Drosophila melanogaster: one gene and its partners. The protein of the gene in region 3 interacts with the protein of the main gene of each other region in a pairwise test. Each region holds a gene or a part of one and is shown on either strand. Other genes may lie near its edges.

Evidence for each region.
Region 1: the proteins of hig (region 3) and CG30355 interact in a two-hybrid assay, tested with the Drosophila melanogaster proteins (one large-scale study listed by BioGRID).
Region 2: the proteins of hig (region 3) and CG7556 interact in a two-hybrid assay, tested with the Drosophila melanogaster proteins (one large-scale study listed by BioGRID).

Annotation. Positions count from the first base shown.
Region 1 is NT_033778.4:8,677,612-8,683,190, forward strand, and holds CG30355 (uncharacterized protein), read right to left. Parts: upstream 2,343-5,579; 5' UTR 2,218-2,342; coding exon 1,883-2,217; intron 1,826-1,882; coding exon 1,600-1,825; 3' UTR 1,535-1,599; downstream 1-1,534. Other genes in the region: Acsl (Acyl-CoA synthetase long-chain), read left to right, coding at 355-417, 819-1,257, 1,317-1,523, 2,401-2,875, 2,938-3,110, 3,174-3,437, 3,499-3,774, 3,840-3,994.
Region 2 is NC_004354.4:19,176,906-19,182,776, forward strand, and holds the start of CG7556 (uncharacterized protein), read right to left. Parts: upstream 2,926-5,871; 5' UTR 2,775-2,925; coding exon 2,095-2,774; intron 1,343-2,094; coding exon 1,135-1,342; intron 1,058-1,134; coding exon 377-1,057; 3' UTR 1-376. Other genes in the region: CG7453 (uncharacterized protein), read left to right, coding at 3,374-4,288.
Region 3 is NT_033778.4:9,244,863-9,250,733, reverse strand, and holds the start of hig (hikaru genki), read left to right. Parts: upstream 1-3,484; 5' UTR 3,485-3,839; coding exon 3,840-3,969; intron 3,970-5,871.

The DNA of each region.
Region 1 (5,579 bases), 570 kb from region 3:
TGCTAAAAAAATAAAATTGGCACTTAAATAAAGGAAACAAACTAAAACATAAATATTTCCAGCTATAACTCGTTTAGGAAAAGTCCCACCTGAGGTACACTTTTATCTGACTTTTCACTATCTAAATGGAACGCATTTTGGTTGGCCTTTTCAGTCGGCTGATAAGGTTTATGGGTTAGTAAGGGTACGCCAACGCCGGAATCTAAGATCGCTTTCATTTGTGTGCAGTTTGCATAATCTTTAGAAAAAATAAGTAAAACGAGTTGAATGCCTTAATCGGGAATCAGTAACTCTATGCAATACCACAGCTAACTAGCTTCTCATCGCATATCTCAACTCCTCCTTCCTCTACAGGCCAAGCCCATTAACCAGAAAATGTTGGTCGATGAGTCCAAGTACGCGCCGGATGACATTGAGGTTTAACTTTTGCAAATGTGTTTTTTTATTATTTAGTAATACTATCTGTTATGGAACATACACACATTACACGAACACACACACACACACACACACACATACATTGGGGCACCCCCATACAACACACAAACACCACACACGCACAATGAATGTTCCAGGTACTGGTTGGTGATCGTACCCAGAGTTGAATCCCCTTTTTGGAGACTCTTTTTGGTGTTGGTCCAAGAAACATGATCTCCCGAGTTACGGCCCTCACCTCAACAAACCCTCGAAAACTCACATGTCCGTTATCTCTCTGTCGATTCTACTTTGTGGTCCCTCCCCTAATCTAGCGTTTCTTTTTAAATCGCAACCTCTAACACGACGTTAAACTAATCGCCACGAATTCGCTCATTTTCCAGGCAAAGATCGTGCGGAATGATGACAATGAGCTGACCTACCGGACCACGGATCCACCACGGGATGTCCACGTGAAGATGCTGCAAGAGAATATCGATACCCTGGAGAAGGTATTCAACTATGTGGCCAAAACTTACACGTCGAAGCGTTGTCTGGGCACCCGGCAGATCCTCAGCGAGGAGGATGAGGTGCAGCAGAACGGTCGAGTCTTCAAGAAGTACAACCTCGGTGACTACAAGTGGAAGACGTTCACCGAGGCGGAGCGCACGGCGGCTAATTTCGGGCGCGGTCTGCGAGAACTTGGCCAGAAACCACGCGAGAACATTGTCATCTTTGCCGAAACGCGAGCCGAATGGATGATAGCTGCCCACGGATGCTTTAAGCAGGCTATGCCCATTGTCACTGTCTATGCTACGCTGGGCGATGATGGAGTTGCTCATTGTGAGTAAATTGGCTTACCATGTGTATGGTTTTTAAATAATATTTTGCTCTGTTGCCAGGCATCACCGAAACGGAAGTCACCACGGTTATCACCTCCCATGATCTGCTGCCCAAGTTTAAGACGCTGCTCGACAAATGCCCATTGGTGAAGACTATTATCTATATTGAGGATCAGCTGCAAAAGACAGAAACCACTGGCTTCAAGGAGGGCGTCAAGATCTTGCCGTTTAACCAAGTTGTCAAGACAGGACAGGACAGTAAATTTGGTACGTTTTGAAAGGGTCTTAAAAGATGATTTATTTATGTCAATTACACGATAAATTTGCTAAAATGCATCGTGTTTCACACCGAAAATGGTGTGGGCTCGACGTGTTCACCATCGGCGTTATCCTCAGGCGCCCGAGCCGTTGCCATCGATGTGGATGCAACCGGCTTCTGCGCATCATTATCATCCACAACATTGCTCATCCTTTCGAGGTTATCAATGTCATCTCTTTCGGTTGATCTGTTTTCACTATCAGAGCCTTGTGCTAATTCTGCTTCCGGCAAGTGGTTGCAATAGCGCCATCTAATCGAGACAGAATGTGTTGATGGGTCATCCAGTGTTTTAATCTACAACTCTCACCTCATGTCAGTACTGGAAAAACCGACGGGTTGCAACAGAATCGGCTTCGTTTGTTCTACATATTCGTTCACAAGACTGGAACCAGGTCCTATGATCAAATCTTCCTCCTTAGCCTCAAGGGTAACTCCTTCGGTTATCTTTTCCTCGTCTCTTTCTTGCTTAGAGGAATATGTGCGATACGCCCGAAAGATGAGAACGCCGCAGTATACGCCAAATAGTGTAAAAAATACGGAGCAGCTTCTCGGCTTTCCTGATGTTGAGCCTAGTAAAGCATTGCATTGTTGCACACAAGTCAAGGGCGTTAGGGTGATGAATTCCTCTAGGACTTCAGCCATTTCGAATGGTGTCTGAACTAAAAAATCACCCTACACAATTTGGAAAGAGTTCTTTCTGTTTACCGAAAGTATGCGCTTTTAATTCAGCACTGAAATGTTGACAGCATATGTATAGCGTGCTATGCGCAAGGAATTTGTTAAATATTAAACTAGTACTAATTGACTTTATTTTGTATCCCACAGAGCACGTTCCACCCAAGGGAGATGACATTGCCATTATCATGTACACTTCCGGATCCACTGGCACACCTAAGGGTGTCCTCCTCTCGCACAAGAACTGCATTGCGACAATGAAGGGATTTGTTGATATGGTGCCTATCTATCCGGATGATGTACTGATCGGATTCCTGCCCCTGGCTCACGTTTTTGAATTGGTTGCGGAAAGTGTGTGTCTCATGACTGGCGTTCCAATTGGCTACTCGACCCCCTTGACTCTGATCGACACTAGCAGCAAGATCAAACGCGGGTGCAAGGGCGATGCCACCGTCCTGAAGCCCACCTGCATGACTTCGGTGCCGCTGATATTGGATCGCATTTCCAAGGGTATTAACGACAAGGTTAACTCTGGCTCGGCGTTCAAGAAATCACTCTTCAAATTCCTTTACCAGTACAAAGTCAAGTGGGTGCAGAGGGGGTACAAGACGCCGCTGATTGATAAGTAAGAACGGTGTGCTCATAAATATCATGAGTTGCTAACTAAAACTATTATTTTTCTTGCAGACTGGTGTTCAAGAAGGTGGCAAAGCTAATGGGTGGCAAAGTGCGCATTATCATGTCTGGCGGAGCGCCTCTGTCAGCAGATACACATGAGCAGATCAAGACCTGCTTGTGCTTGGAGCTGATTCAGGGCTATGGCCTTACGGAAACTACGTCTGGAGCCACTGTCATGGACTGTAAGTGATCGCAGATCGACCTTTCTTTTGAAAACAAGTAAATAACTTTATACCCAATACAAGACCGTGATATGACCTATGGACGCACTGGAGGACCATTAACTGTCTGCGACATCCGTCTAGTCAACTGGGAAGAAGGCAACTACCGCGTCACAAATAAACCTTATCCCCAGGGTGAGGTTCTCATTGGTGGCGAGTGTGTCTCCCAGGGATACTACAAGTTGCCCGGCAAGACCAACGAGGATTTCTTTGAGGAGGATGGACAGAGATGGTTTAAAACCGGCGACATTGGCGAAATACAAGCTGATGGCGTACTTAAGATTATTGGTAAGTTATTTAGCACAGTGCTTTTTCTTTCATTTTTTTTATTATAATACGCTTTTTGCAGATCGTAAGAAGGATCTGGTTAAGCTGCAGGCCGGCGAGTATGTTTCCCTTGGCAAAGTTGAATCTGAGCTTAAGACTTGCGGAATCATCGAGAACATTTGCGTATACGGAGATCCGACAAAGCAGTACACAGTGGCGCTGGTCGTTCCCAACCAAAACCATTTGGAGGAGCTGGCACAGAAACATGGCCTGGGTGATAAGTCCTTTGAGGAGCTGTGCTCATCACCGATCATAGAGAAGGCTATTCTCAAGGAAATTGCTGAGCATGCGCGGAAATGTAAGCTACGATGCAGATTTGAGTATTTTTCAAAGTTTTTAATGGCAAATTGTTTAATCTTAAAGGTAAATTGCAAAAATATGAGGTTCCCGCCGCCATCACACTTTGTAAGGAGGTCTGGTCTCCGGACATGGGGCTGGTAACCGCCGCCTTCAAGCTGAAGCGCAAGGATATCCAGGACAGATATCAGCATGATATTAACCGCATGTACGCCTCATGAAAGTCAATGTACTAAGCCAGAGGTACCAGATGCAGCAACGACAACAACACGCAAACATTAAAGCAGCAGCAATGAAGCTAGTGTGTACTAATTGTTTTTAGTAGCACCCCACACAGCATAAGCATGCATACGAAATCCAAAACCAAACTAGCTTAAGTCCTAAAAGATCTAAATGCCGAGCAGTACATGCAGGAACCGATTAGCCACATTGCGCATGTAAAGACAGACAGAATGTTCTCATTTGCCTTTTTCGTTTCGTTTTATCTTATTTGCTAGAAATCGAAAATTACTCGTTTCTCATTTTAATAAAGTTCGCAAAGACTTGCTTGGCAGATATGTAGCTGAAGCTGAGTTTGGTTTGGAAATGCGCTGTGTATGTGCTAGGAATGCTGTTCAACCGATTGACAATGATAATGGTAATGATAACTGAATGCCGATGATGAGAAGGAATATTGTATACTGTACAGTTTTCGGTTTATAGTACATTGTGTGGCAAATTTATATTGCAGAAAAATACTTATTTTTATATTAAGCTTAAGTGGTTGCCTATTAATTATGTACATACGATATACACATTCATATAAAAGCATATATGTGTAAAATAAATCTAATATTTAGTGTACTTCTCTATGCTAAGTTAAATGTATGGAATTCTTGAAGTAATGAAATGTAGACAGCAGCAATGAAAGCGACTTGATTATGAATTAAAAGCCACAATTGAAAGTAAAGAACCTAAGAATTTCCCTTGCAAATGCTTCTTTTTGGCGCAGAGTAAAATACATCTAAACACAAATGGAACCATCCAAAAATTACTTTTAATTACACAAAGGCATAAAGGTTACAAAGGCAATTGTAATATATATTTTAGCTCAATTTAGTTAAAAAAAGGACATCAAATGAATTTTATGAAATATATTATGTAAAACACGTAAAGAGAAAAGTCAAAATTAATATGCAACAAATGAAAGACTTAGTACCAAAATATAATAAAAACACTGAAATCACTAGAAGGCCAACAAAACGCCTATATCTCAAAACTAAAATGTAATAACATTTGTTTTAGATGTGCAAGAACTTTTTGAATAAATTGTAGTCATATTTTTAGTTAAACTATGTATATTTAGGAAACGTTTAGCAATTTTTTGTGGAAACGTTACGTTTCTTTTCAATAAAATTCAAATGATACAAAGATGCAATTTCGACTTCTTTAAAAATCACGAGGGACGGCGTGTGGAACTCGTATCTCCGATTTTGTCGCCCTGATCAAATAGATCATTGTTATAATAACGAAACGAGTTACGAGTAATAAAGATATAAGACAATTATTACACATAAGTATCAATGCATTATAATATTTTTGATCGTATGAAATACTGGATAAATGAATAAACGAAACTATTTTTTAGTTTTACTTGAGCGGTAACTTGCGTATTAGTTTAAAATTGGGAACTATTCGTGAAGATAAATTTATCGAATATCTGGTTTGAAATCGAGTTTTTCCTATCGATCAATGGTCAGCTTATCAAAGCTCCCTAGAACTTTTTACTGTGCTTTTGACTAGATCAAATGGCTTGTGAACTTTTTG
Region 2 (5,871 bases), on a different chromosome or scaffold from region 3:
TATTTTATTAGTTACTAACCTGGAAGTACACCGTATCTATCATCGATGGCTTTATCCCTGACAGAAACCCATCAAAAACTCTTATCCTATTCACTTCCTCTTACATTTCGTTTACTTAGCAAAGGAATTAATCGACATTTAGATGTTTACAATATAGAATTATGTACAAAACATAAGATAAGCGCTACACACGGTGATGGAAACAGAAGGTCAGGGAAGGGGCAGAGGATCGGGCCGCGGATTAGGATTGGCAAGGTCCAAAATGCTATGCCAGAGAGTCTTTAATGCAAAGTATAAAAAAATTCAATTACATCTAGTTGTGAGCCACGCGAGGAGATGCCGCAGCAGGAGGACAGAGCGGGAGCCGGGTTTCCGACTAACTGATCTCGTACTGATATGCATCGTCCGAGTCCTCGCCGCTGGATAAGTCCCGCTTACGGCGACGCTGCTCCCGCTTGCTGAGCTTCTTGGCGGCTGGCGCCACTTCCGGTTCTGGCGGCGCAAGGGGCTCCTCCTCGGGGAGCTCTTCCTCGATGGCGGCCGCATCCTCGTCCGGCTCGTTGGCCTCCTCCTCGGCCCGCTTCTGCGTCTTGACCAGCTCGCAGAGATACTTGTAGCGCACCAGGCACTCCTCCTTGGTCTTCTCCGGCACACTGTTGGCGATCTTCTGCCAACGGTCTCCGCCGGCCGTCTTCCGGTACTTGACTATCGCCGCCTCCAGGGCGCGCTGCTGCTCTTGCGTCCAGTTGGTCTCCGGAATTAGCATGCTCTTCTCGGCTGAAGCTCCTGCATTTGCGGCTGCCTTCTTCACTTTTTCCTTACGCTGCGCCTGCTGGGACTCCTGGACGAGAGCCTCGGCCACGCTGTCAGTTTGGCCGGGAATGCGGTAGCCATTCTCCTTCATCTTGGCCGCCATAAAGGTCACCTCCTGAACGCTGCGGTTCATCGACTCGGCGATAGTGTTCCAGCGGCTGCCAGCTCCGCCAGGATACTTTTTTACCAAGCGAATCAGCTCGGTAAGATCCTCGTCAGTCCAGAAGCCGCCGCTCACCGTGCTCTAAAAGTAAAAGCATGAAATTAGTAGGGTTTCGAATTTACTAGGGAACAGGAAACACTATACTGTCGGCTTTATACCTTCTGGGAAGCTGGACGAACTGCATCGTCATCTGTCAATTCGCGAGTCTGAATCTGCGAATAGCCGCGCAATTCTTCCTCGGTCTTCTCTGGAGCCTTGCTGTTCTGCTTGCGCTTCCGCAGATTCTCCTTGTGCTCCTTGCGAAGGCGCGCCTGCTCCTCGGCCTCCCGTTCCAGTTCCTCCTGACGACGGACGGCCTCCAGTTCCCTGTGGATGCAAATTGGGATGAATCAATTAGTTTCTTACTTCTTACTTTTGGATACCGTTCCCACACGATTTTTGTTAGCTTGTTAGCTATTCTACGCTAATCGAATTTTAGTACCTTATCTGTGGTCATATCAAGAATGCTCAGTTTCATTTGATTATCGTGCGACACAAAGACTGACAATATTCCTTCTTTGGAACCTATCTAATGGTGCAAGTCATCTTAAGGTGCACTCATGAGCACCTTTTTTGGAAAGCATAAAATGTGTTTGCATGGTGACATATCGTTTTCTTTCTTTGTTTCTTAATTGAATTGCCTATATTTAGAAGAATTGTTCTAGCTTGTGAATATAAAATGCTAACTAAAGGCTATGACCAAAATTTCAACTGAGAAATGAGAAACTAACCAACTTTTAATATTAAATGATATCACTCTGCATGCAATGAACATACAGAAACCACAGCGAATTAACGATAAGAGTGGCAATGTAAGTTATCAAAACCTGATGCAATACAAAACTAGAATTATATTCTTTTGTTGCTCTATATACTAAGATATTGAAGACTAAAGTAAGAGAGGTCTGCCAAAACTCCGAGCACAAGGTCGCAAAATAATAATCCTTCCGCTGCCAGGACCTCTCGATATAGAAACTTAATGAAATAGCAAAATCCTACAACTCCAAAATGACTACAATGGAACAAGGCGCTATAATAACGTAAAAACGTAAGGTAAGCAATAGAACCCTGCCACTTACTGCCTGCGCTTCTCCAGGGCGAGTTCCTTTAGCTCGTTGGCCTTGCTGAATCCGTTCTTGATGGTGCGCGGCAGGTTCCACAGGGCCAAGGGGATCTGGATGGGCAGGGTGTTGAGTAGCGAGGGCATCGGTATCTCGCTAAGGATCACGTCCATGTCGATGTTCTTGTTCTTCTTCTGCAGCTTCTTCAGCTTGGTGCCAAAGACCTGTTCGGCGGTGTACTTCTTCTCGAGGTAGGCCGCCCAGGCGAATAGATACTGGCCCACGGTGGTTATCAGGAAGAGGATAAAGGCGCCCTCATAGAGCCCGATCTTGCGCATACGTCGGTAATAGTAGAGGGCAGACTTCCAGTTGGGCATGCCCTCCTTCAGTACCCGGTCGTACTTCTCTCGGCGCGACGGATCTTTGAGAACCTCGTAGATGGAAACGAGGTTGCGGAACTGGATGTTGGCATCCTCGGCCGGATTCTTGTCCGGATGCAGGACAATGGACAGGGTGCGGAAGGCGCGCTTCACCTCGGCGCCCGTTGCCGTTTGGTTGATGCCCATGAACTCGTAGAAGTTGCGGTTTACCTCCTCGACCAAGTCAAAGATCTCCAGTTCCTCCGAGTGCCAGGCGCTGGCGCCAGTGGCGCAGAGCAGCAGGAGGCCGGCCAGCGTCAGCTCCGGTCGCATCATCATCGTGGTCCGAGTTCCGAATCCAGGTCAGGTCCAAATCGGAGTAAAATCCAAATTTAATGCGCCAGACCCACGCACGCACCACAAATACACACACACGCAAGCAAACACGGATAGGCTCAGCTGGAAAGTGGCAACGTCAGCAGACTGGTCGCTGGTGCGACAGCGTTGCCACCACTCGGTAAAGTTTGTGTAGACAAAAAGATATTTGCAACGTTTCTATTATTTATTTTTACGAATTTCTGTTTTTTTGTTCAAAAATAATTTACTGCACTAATTCTGTAACCATATATATGTAATCAAATTTTACAAATTTTTTTTTCCAACTAACGACACACAGTAGGTCAAACAGATTTCGTTTGTTTGCTCATTAAAATTTGCTCATAACATTTGTCAAGTTCTTCCTGAAAACAATAAAACAAATTCTCTTTCTATACCGAATTTTGTTTTAACTTGATACACGTTTTTCACCTGTTTCAAACCAAAACGCCCAACACTGTCGACTGTTATCGATAAGCTCTCGATGGTGCATCACTTGTGCAACTAAATGAATAGAAGCGACGCGACGTTTCACTCTTATAAGAATAAGAAATCAGACGACAATGAAGCTGCTCTATATGCTGTGGCTGCTGAGCATCTTGGTCCTGGTCTCAGGCCAGCAGAAGCAGACAGCTAACTCCGCCACCAAGGACGCCCCAGTGGTGGCCAATGCGACGAACGTGCTGCAGGCCAAAGTTATTCCAGGATCGAAATTGGAATCTGGATCTCCGGGAGCTGCCAGCCAGCTGGTGCCGGGTAAGGATGCAGCTGTGTTGCAACAGGACAAGAACTTAAACAAAACGGCCACAGCAGAAAATGCAGGTAAAGCCAAAAATCTCACAAACACCGATACAGGAGTGCCCACCATTCCTTTGGTCACTTCCAAGCCGGCTGTGGAGCAAAAGGCGGCCAAGGAGGCGACCAATACGACCTCCACTACAACTTCTTCCACCACGACCACCACCACCACGGCAAAGCCAGCTGCAGGATCAGCCATAGTCACCGAGGGCCAGTCCATGAAGGATGTCACCAAGCCGAGCAACTCGTCCACCAACGGCGCGGCAATATCCCCGACCAACAGCACCCACACCGCCACAGCCACCACCAAAACTGTCAATTCAACCATCATCGCAACCACGCCAAAGCCGAAGAAGCCCCCAGTGGTATTGAGCACTGATATACACCAGGAGGGGGAGGATATGGCGGAGCTGGAAAAGAGTCAGGATAAGCCAGGTACAAAGGGCGCTCCCACCCAGCCATTGGCCACACCACCAGAGCCATTGGTGCAGGGGCTTACTGGAAGTAATCTTGCCGATCACGGAGAGAACGGGTATGTGGTACCCATTGTTACCGTGCTGCTGACCGTTCCGCTGGCCATCGGCGTGGTGACCATCATGTACCGCCGCTTCCGCGACATGTGGAGCACCAGGCACTACCGTCGCATGGACTTCCTGGTGGACGGCATGTACAACGACTGACGAAGACGCGGACGACAGGCTGGCGGCAAGGGCGGCCACTTCACCGGGTGCTCCAACGCCTCCTCCGGCGCACTCGGATGATTATTAGTTGTTTAAGTTATACACGACTGGACGTGCTTGCATTCAATGCAAGATCGCCGGATCGAAAGCAGAGTGAGAGTAGCGGAGAGCAGAGGAGGCGGTGGGAAAACGAAACGAAACTATGATATTGCTCAGTCAATTAGAGGAGGAGGAGAAAGGGATTCGCTTTGCAGCGTGGCTAGGATACCCTTCCGAGCGGCCAAATTGAATTTAAAGCCAACTGATTTTCAACACTAAATTCGAGTGGACTCTTAAGTTTAAGCATTTGGATTATTGTCAAGCATTTGTTAGCAATCAAAAATTGATACCGGCACTTATATGTACCCTATATATACATATATCTACTTAGGCTGCTGCTGTACATCGAAGGCTGCGGACTCTCAACCATCAACCATCAACATCAACATCAGCGCAATTAGCAATCACTTGATGCATCCACAATCTAGCCGTAATGTGCCTTACGAACCAGCTCTATATACACCTTTACACATGATATTCTCCATCGCCGGGTCTTCGAGGTGATTTCTTCGCATTTACTTTACGCAACCAAGCAGCAGCACTCACTCAAAAAAAAAAACCAGCAGAAACCAAAAACACAAGCAATCGGCCTGAAACAAGCAAATTTATTGCATACCATGTGTATATACATAAATATGAATATATATATATATATATATACATATTTCTTATTGTTATTAATTTAACAACTACAATAAAGCAACAAGGCTAAAAAAAAAAAGATATATTTGGAAATGAAGTTTATTTATTAAGAGCCTCGGGCACTACTTGTGCCTCTATGATATCGTTTTTCCTCGTTTTAAAACAAAACTAATTGCTTATTCTGTAAAATGCAAACAACCGCAGTCTTGAATGTCACGCTAATTACTTGGTTTTGAATAATTCATTGAAATGTTAGCAATCAATTAAAAGGAAATTAGATAAAAACAGATATATATATGTGATATTTTAAATAACAAATAATACAGGATTGTAGTTAGTCGAATAGAACCCAAATTCAATTAATTCCTTAATAATTTTTTTCCAAACTCATTTTGGTAGTGTAAATCATGATTTATGCTTGCCAGCCCCGTTCAAATTCAAATATCATGCACTAAATCTTCTGGTTAACCCATTAATGTCTTCATTTATGCTTTATGGTTGGGAACACGCAATCGACTCCAGTGGCCAGATTTCCCTGGAGATTCGAGGCTACCAATTGATGTGCGTCCGGAGCTGTGACCTTTGGTGATAATAGATCACCAGCGCCTGTTCCTCGCGTCTTGATTTAGACAAATGGGGAACGAGGAACTGCCTCCATGCAGCCACCAACCCACCCACCTACAAATGGGCAACCTCCAACCAAGCTATGAAATAATGGAAGACAAGCGAGGAACTGCCGAATGCTCTCGATGAAGTGGTTTATAAATGATCTCCATCTGCGAAGTTGTTCGTGGATCGTTTCAATAATTTAAACAAAAAGAACTAAACTGCCAACAAAACGA
Region 3 (5,871 bases):
CACACAGACTCATACTCATACTCATACCAACCCCGCTGTGCGTGAGGTTACTTAATGCTGTTTACTGGCCAAAGTTTGTCCTGCCATTGGCCATTGACCACTGGACGGAAGTGGCTTGAGTCCGGGAGTTGGGCACAACATTACTTGCACTGGCTGGGTTTTATTCTCGCCATAACCATTGCTCCATGGCAAATGGCCCATTGGAGCATTTATGGCCAAGTTCCATGCGTCGGCATTCCCCCGACTTTTTCATTCAATTGCTATATCTGGGCGGCTTTAATTAACAATGTTTTTATAAGCACTTTAACCAATACTTTTTTATATAGAGAAAAATGCTATGTGAAGTTCCTTGGAGATTCAAGCTATAAAGGTTAAAGTGTACACCTTTTCCCCCAATATAATTTTTGCATTTCCCTATCCTCTTCGAAAGCATTTACCCTCCAAAAACGCAGAAAAGCCACATGGACCACAATTGAAGGGTCGTTGTTGTGGCTCGTTGCTGCCACTTAACGTATTTGCCACGGATTCACCCACCTCCCCACCTGTTATGCCTGCACTGACCGCTGAACGCTGCAGGATGCAGTCGTTGAGGGAGCTTTAATCGACCAAACTGCCACTGCACCTGCGGGATCAATTGAGATTTATTACTGGGTCGTGTCATTTGTATTTCGCTTGGTTCCCACGGCTGCTTCTGCAATTGTGCACATTTTATGCTGCTGGTCAGCAATTAGACACTTATTTAATTTGCAGCGGGAATTTCCAGCTGGCACTTCGGATTTGCCCACTGACCCGACTAGTTGGGCGTTTTGGGCCAACAAGCCGACAGCTGTGGTTAACTTTGGCCAGCAGAGAATGCCAATGCTAATGCCAATATGCCCTTATTCCAACCGAAAAGTGGATCGCTAGCTCTTCAAGAACTTTTTGCCACCACATACTTTGCTCCCAATGACAAGCTGATGATTGTATAAAGCCAATATTTGTATCTAAATATCTGGTAGTGCAAAATAATTTGTAGCTGCGATTTGCGCAGATTGTGGTCGTGTTGGCTTCGCTCTTTAATGACATTTTGAGCGTCTTAATGACTTAATGGCCCTTTGGTCGTCAAAACGCTTTTGCCGCATCATTGGCAATGCAATTAACTCGAGCATTTGCTGGTGCCCGCTTTTTGTGTGCCAAGTGTCCTGGCGTAATTAGTTGGCCACTTCCGCTTCCACTTCCTTGCCGCCATCGCATCCGTGTCTGTCTGCGCGAGTCCTTTAATGGATTTCGCCTCTGACTGCGCGCGAAAATTCATTAAAACTCGATAATTGCATGACAAGACAAGATCCTGGAATTTGGCCATCGGGTGCGAGTCCTTGTTTATCCCTGGGCTCGCTATCTGGCAAATGGCATTAAGAACCAGTTGATTTACTTGCGATTGTTTTCCGCTTGGTGCACTGAGCAAAATAAGGAGCATAACATATTATCGAAGAGATCGATGTTAAGAAATCTCAGAATATTTATTGTATATTTGAATATCTAAAACCTGAATTACAACTTAAAGAATATATTATTTTGACATATGTTCAAAACAACAAGGAATTTATTTAAAGCAATAATTTCATTAAAACGAAGAGGAGATTATTTCATTTAAAACAATTGGATGTGTAGTTATTAAATCAGCTGCCAACCAAGCTGGCCAAAGTAAATATTCCTTTTGCGTGACTTACTATGCATATTGTATTATTCATTCTACCGAAATGAGGATTCGGTAAGCCATGTATTTGTTGCATCTGCCCATCGCACAGCCAGTAAGTAATTGTCTTGATTAAATAATTTAATCTGCTAAATGCAGGCATTTTAATCTAGAAAAGCTGCGACCATGTCAGGTGCACGCACTTCATTGGCACCCAGGAAATCATTGGTTATTAGCCTTCGGCCCGTCGGCATCGAATTGAGTTGGAATACCAGAGATGTAATTTCAGCCTGCGGTTGCAGGGCAGCAAATTGAATTTTGCTGTAAAGCCGCTCGTTGCCAGGAGGCAGGATAAACATGCTAAACGTATAAATTTTCAGCCTGATTGCATTCCAAAGTTTCGGGCCACTAGGACGGCATGCCAGAAACTATACACAAAAGATAATGCCGCTGCACAATTGGATTGCCAGCTGAGGGGGAGAATGCAGCACACAAACATTCATTTTCCACTCGACTGGAGTTGAGCGCGTTTCGCATTCGCATTCGCATTTGGTATTTCGCATTTCAGCAAAATTTCAATGCGACAGACAAGAGCGACCCAGACGGTATTGTTACGGTTACGCTTTAGGACCAGGACTAACCTGAACCTCCAATGAGTGACATTTATCTTGCGAGGACAACAAGGGGCGTCCTGTCGGAGCATTCATTTGCGTAATTAGTGGCCAAGTGGCATCCGCAACCTGGTTGCCAAATGCCAAATGCCATTTGGCTTCGGTCGCAGAGCAGAGGCCTCAAAATCACCGCAACTGCTGCTTGATTATTGGCCAGGACCAAAAGGAATGGCCAGCAGACAGGCGACGTCAGCACAATTGATAGCATACTTCTCAGGGCAGCGGCAGCTGAGGAGCAGCAAAGGTGAGTCCCTTGCCGAGCACTTGGCTCCACTGCACTCCTTAGCCACAATAGAATGTACCCACTTTGAATTTGTAGTAAACACGGAAGCACACTTTTGAATTTATAAACATATAATTAGCTACAAAAAAATTGCATTTAGTTGCTAAGCTTACCGCCAAGTAAAAATCATAAAATTTAAACTTTAGCAGTTATTGCCAATGTATCCAAAAATGTAATTCTCATATTTATCTCCTACATACAATATTTCAATTAAATAATTATAGTCGTCTAGTTATTGTACCTTATGTGCTCATGTTTTCGGGCTATATAAATCGCAGTTTTAAGCCAATAACATTTTCAGCAACGATTTCCCCTAGTGAATTAGGAAATAGTAATTGATTTTATGCGATTGATTCACTGCTGCACCAGTAAAAAGTATCTGCCTGAACTAAGGAAGTATAATTAAATTAGTTTTAAACTGGAAAGTAACCGAATCAACGTGGCAAGCAAGCGGAAAACTTCATTTGTAGCTGGGAATTGGCCACGTGGGTGGGCGGTGTTCCTTGGTTGGTTCGGGGGGGAGTGGGAAAAAGGAGAGCTACGTGAGAGTTACAAGGGCACGCACGCAGACACACGGGCACAGCGAAAAGCGAAAGCAGCGAGAGAGGAAAATCGGAGATGACGAAAAACAGCAACAGCAACGGCAATGGCAACAGCGACTAAGCAAAACATGGGCCAAACCAAAACAAAAACACACGATTTGCCGGCAAAATGCACGTGACACATCCTTTGGCGAGCTTCGTCGAGTGCGATCCTTCGTCGAGTGCCGAATGCAGCCGATTGCAGCCGAACGAAGCAGAGCCGAAGCTGCGCAGAATCCAACGAGAGGTATAAAAGCGAGACGCTCGCCGCACTCGTGGCATTCGATTGTCGTCGCTCGAGAGGATAGGTGCCCAGCTTCGAAAAGGATAAAACCCCGCAAAGGACTCTAAGTAAAAGTGAAACTTTAAAGCCAAAGAGCACACACACATACACATACACGCGCACACGTTGCATACAGTTTGGCGCGAGTGTGGGTTACTGCTGGCGGTACGCCAGTGTGTGTGTGTGAGTTGGCCAAGTGGATTTCTATTTTTGGCCCATTAAGAAGTCAACTCGTGAAGTGCAGTGGTGTTAAATTCGTTGCTATTTGAAAGGACTCATCGGGTTGCTTAACAAACGAAAACAAAACAACGCCGAAACTCTGGCAATCGCAATCTGATCCTTGGACATGTGGAGCAGGCAGCGAATGCGCCATAAGCCGCTTTGGGCCCTAATATCCTTGACCGTTTTGCTGCTGGTCCTGGACAAAAGCAATGCCAACACGGAGCCCGTCGAGACCAGCACCACATCCGAGCCAGGTGAGTCCTAATTGCCCCGCACACACGTGGGCTCCTCCGTTTGACCTTCACTCACTGGACGGACGAAAAGCGTAAATAAATTATGACGGGCCGCCTCGAACTCGGTCACTTTATTAAATGGCCTTCCACGCATCCATGGAAATCGGACAGTTCACAGCTTCCAGCTCCCAGCGATTATCACACACGCTCGAACAAAAAGGATATAAATCCGGAGTAGAAATGAATTCGTAACCGGGAGGGGAAGCTACAGAGCGCAAGAGCAAATAACTGGCAGCAAATGAAATATTTCACGGCATCTGCGGCACAAAGGCAATCAAAGCGAGCCGAGAGCCCATGGGCAACCTTAATCCCAATCAGAGTCAACAAACAAGCAAGGGCATCGCGAAAACGGGGCACTGCGGAAAATATTTGGCAACAAATTTTTAGGTTGCTTTTCATATTAAATTATAAAAGACATGCTTATAAGGTGCAAGGATAATGGCTTTTATTATGAATCATTCAAAGCAAGACATCATGAAGTCTTTAAAGTTAGTTTTCAAACGCAATCACAAACATTATTTTTCAGTAAGAATAAAGAAAAACATGATTGTCATGTATGACAAATCGAAATAAATTTTCGTATAGCATTCACATAAATATTTAAAATCATTATGTATTTCACACCTTGTAAAATAATTATTTAACCTTTATTTCGAGCGTATTATGATAATTTATTAGGTAAGAATTTAATGATAAATTTAGTTATTTTTGATCAAATATATTTTCAATTACATATGTATATTTATACATTATAAATTATGATTACTGAACATTTTGAACATGTGAAATCATTAATAAGGCGCAAACTTAATGCATACTTTTGATTGTTAGACCTTTGCTCCTAAATCTCAACGAAACTTAATTCCGCTGGCAGTCACCAATAATTTCTCTCAGTGCACTAGGGGAAGGGGAGCTGAAAGGTAGCTCGGGCAAGCGGCAATTGCACGAAAGTCCGTAATGAAGTATGGCAGGCAGGCCGTCCGAGGCTGGTAATAGAAATTAATAGCGTCATGTGTGAGTTTTGCGAAAGGGAAGGAAGACTTTGGACGGGGGAATGGGTGGATGTGGGGTACAAGGGACAAGGGAAGTGGGAAAAAGGATACAGGGGAAGTGTAAAGTGCCCGACAGCGACACGCAGATGCGCATAAAGTAATTAATTCACTCTGCCTCCATCGGCATCGCCATCGCCATCGCCATCCCTCCAGTCGGTTGCCTTCTAATTTCCCCTGGCAAATCGACAGGACCAGCTGTTGAGCTGCTGAGCTTTTGGGGTTTCGTCCTTCAGTCAGGCAAAAGTGCGTCGCACTTATCTTCTTTTTTTTTCTTTTGTGGCGGATATTGCGACTTCTTATTTCGCCTTTTGGTGCGCAGTTTGGCAGTCAGTCAGGTGAGAGGGGTGCCGATTCTTAGATTTTCTGAGATCCAAACGTTCGCTTGACACATGTGAAAGCGAGGGAAATTTAATTTACATGACTCACAAATGGAATCCATTTAATGTTGACTTATGGCGACGAAGCACTAGCGCACAGAGCACTAATGAAATATGCAGTAGCCGAGTAGCAGCTAAAACCAGAGCTGCCTTTCACCCATTTCCATGTGCTGTCCCATAAATCCTGGGTCCCCAGGATGGATGATGATGTTGGAACGAGTTGGGCGCACACTAAAAAATATGCGTTTACGATAATTATTTTCAATAGTAGAGTAGTAGTAAGCCACATATAAAAGAGAAGCTAACTAAAAATATCCCTTCGAAACATGATATAAATATTTCATAAAATAAATAGGAAGCCAAAGATAGATGGAACTTATTTCAGTGCACCACACACAGTGCATTTTGCGAGCCCATGGTCACCCATGTCTTTT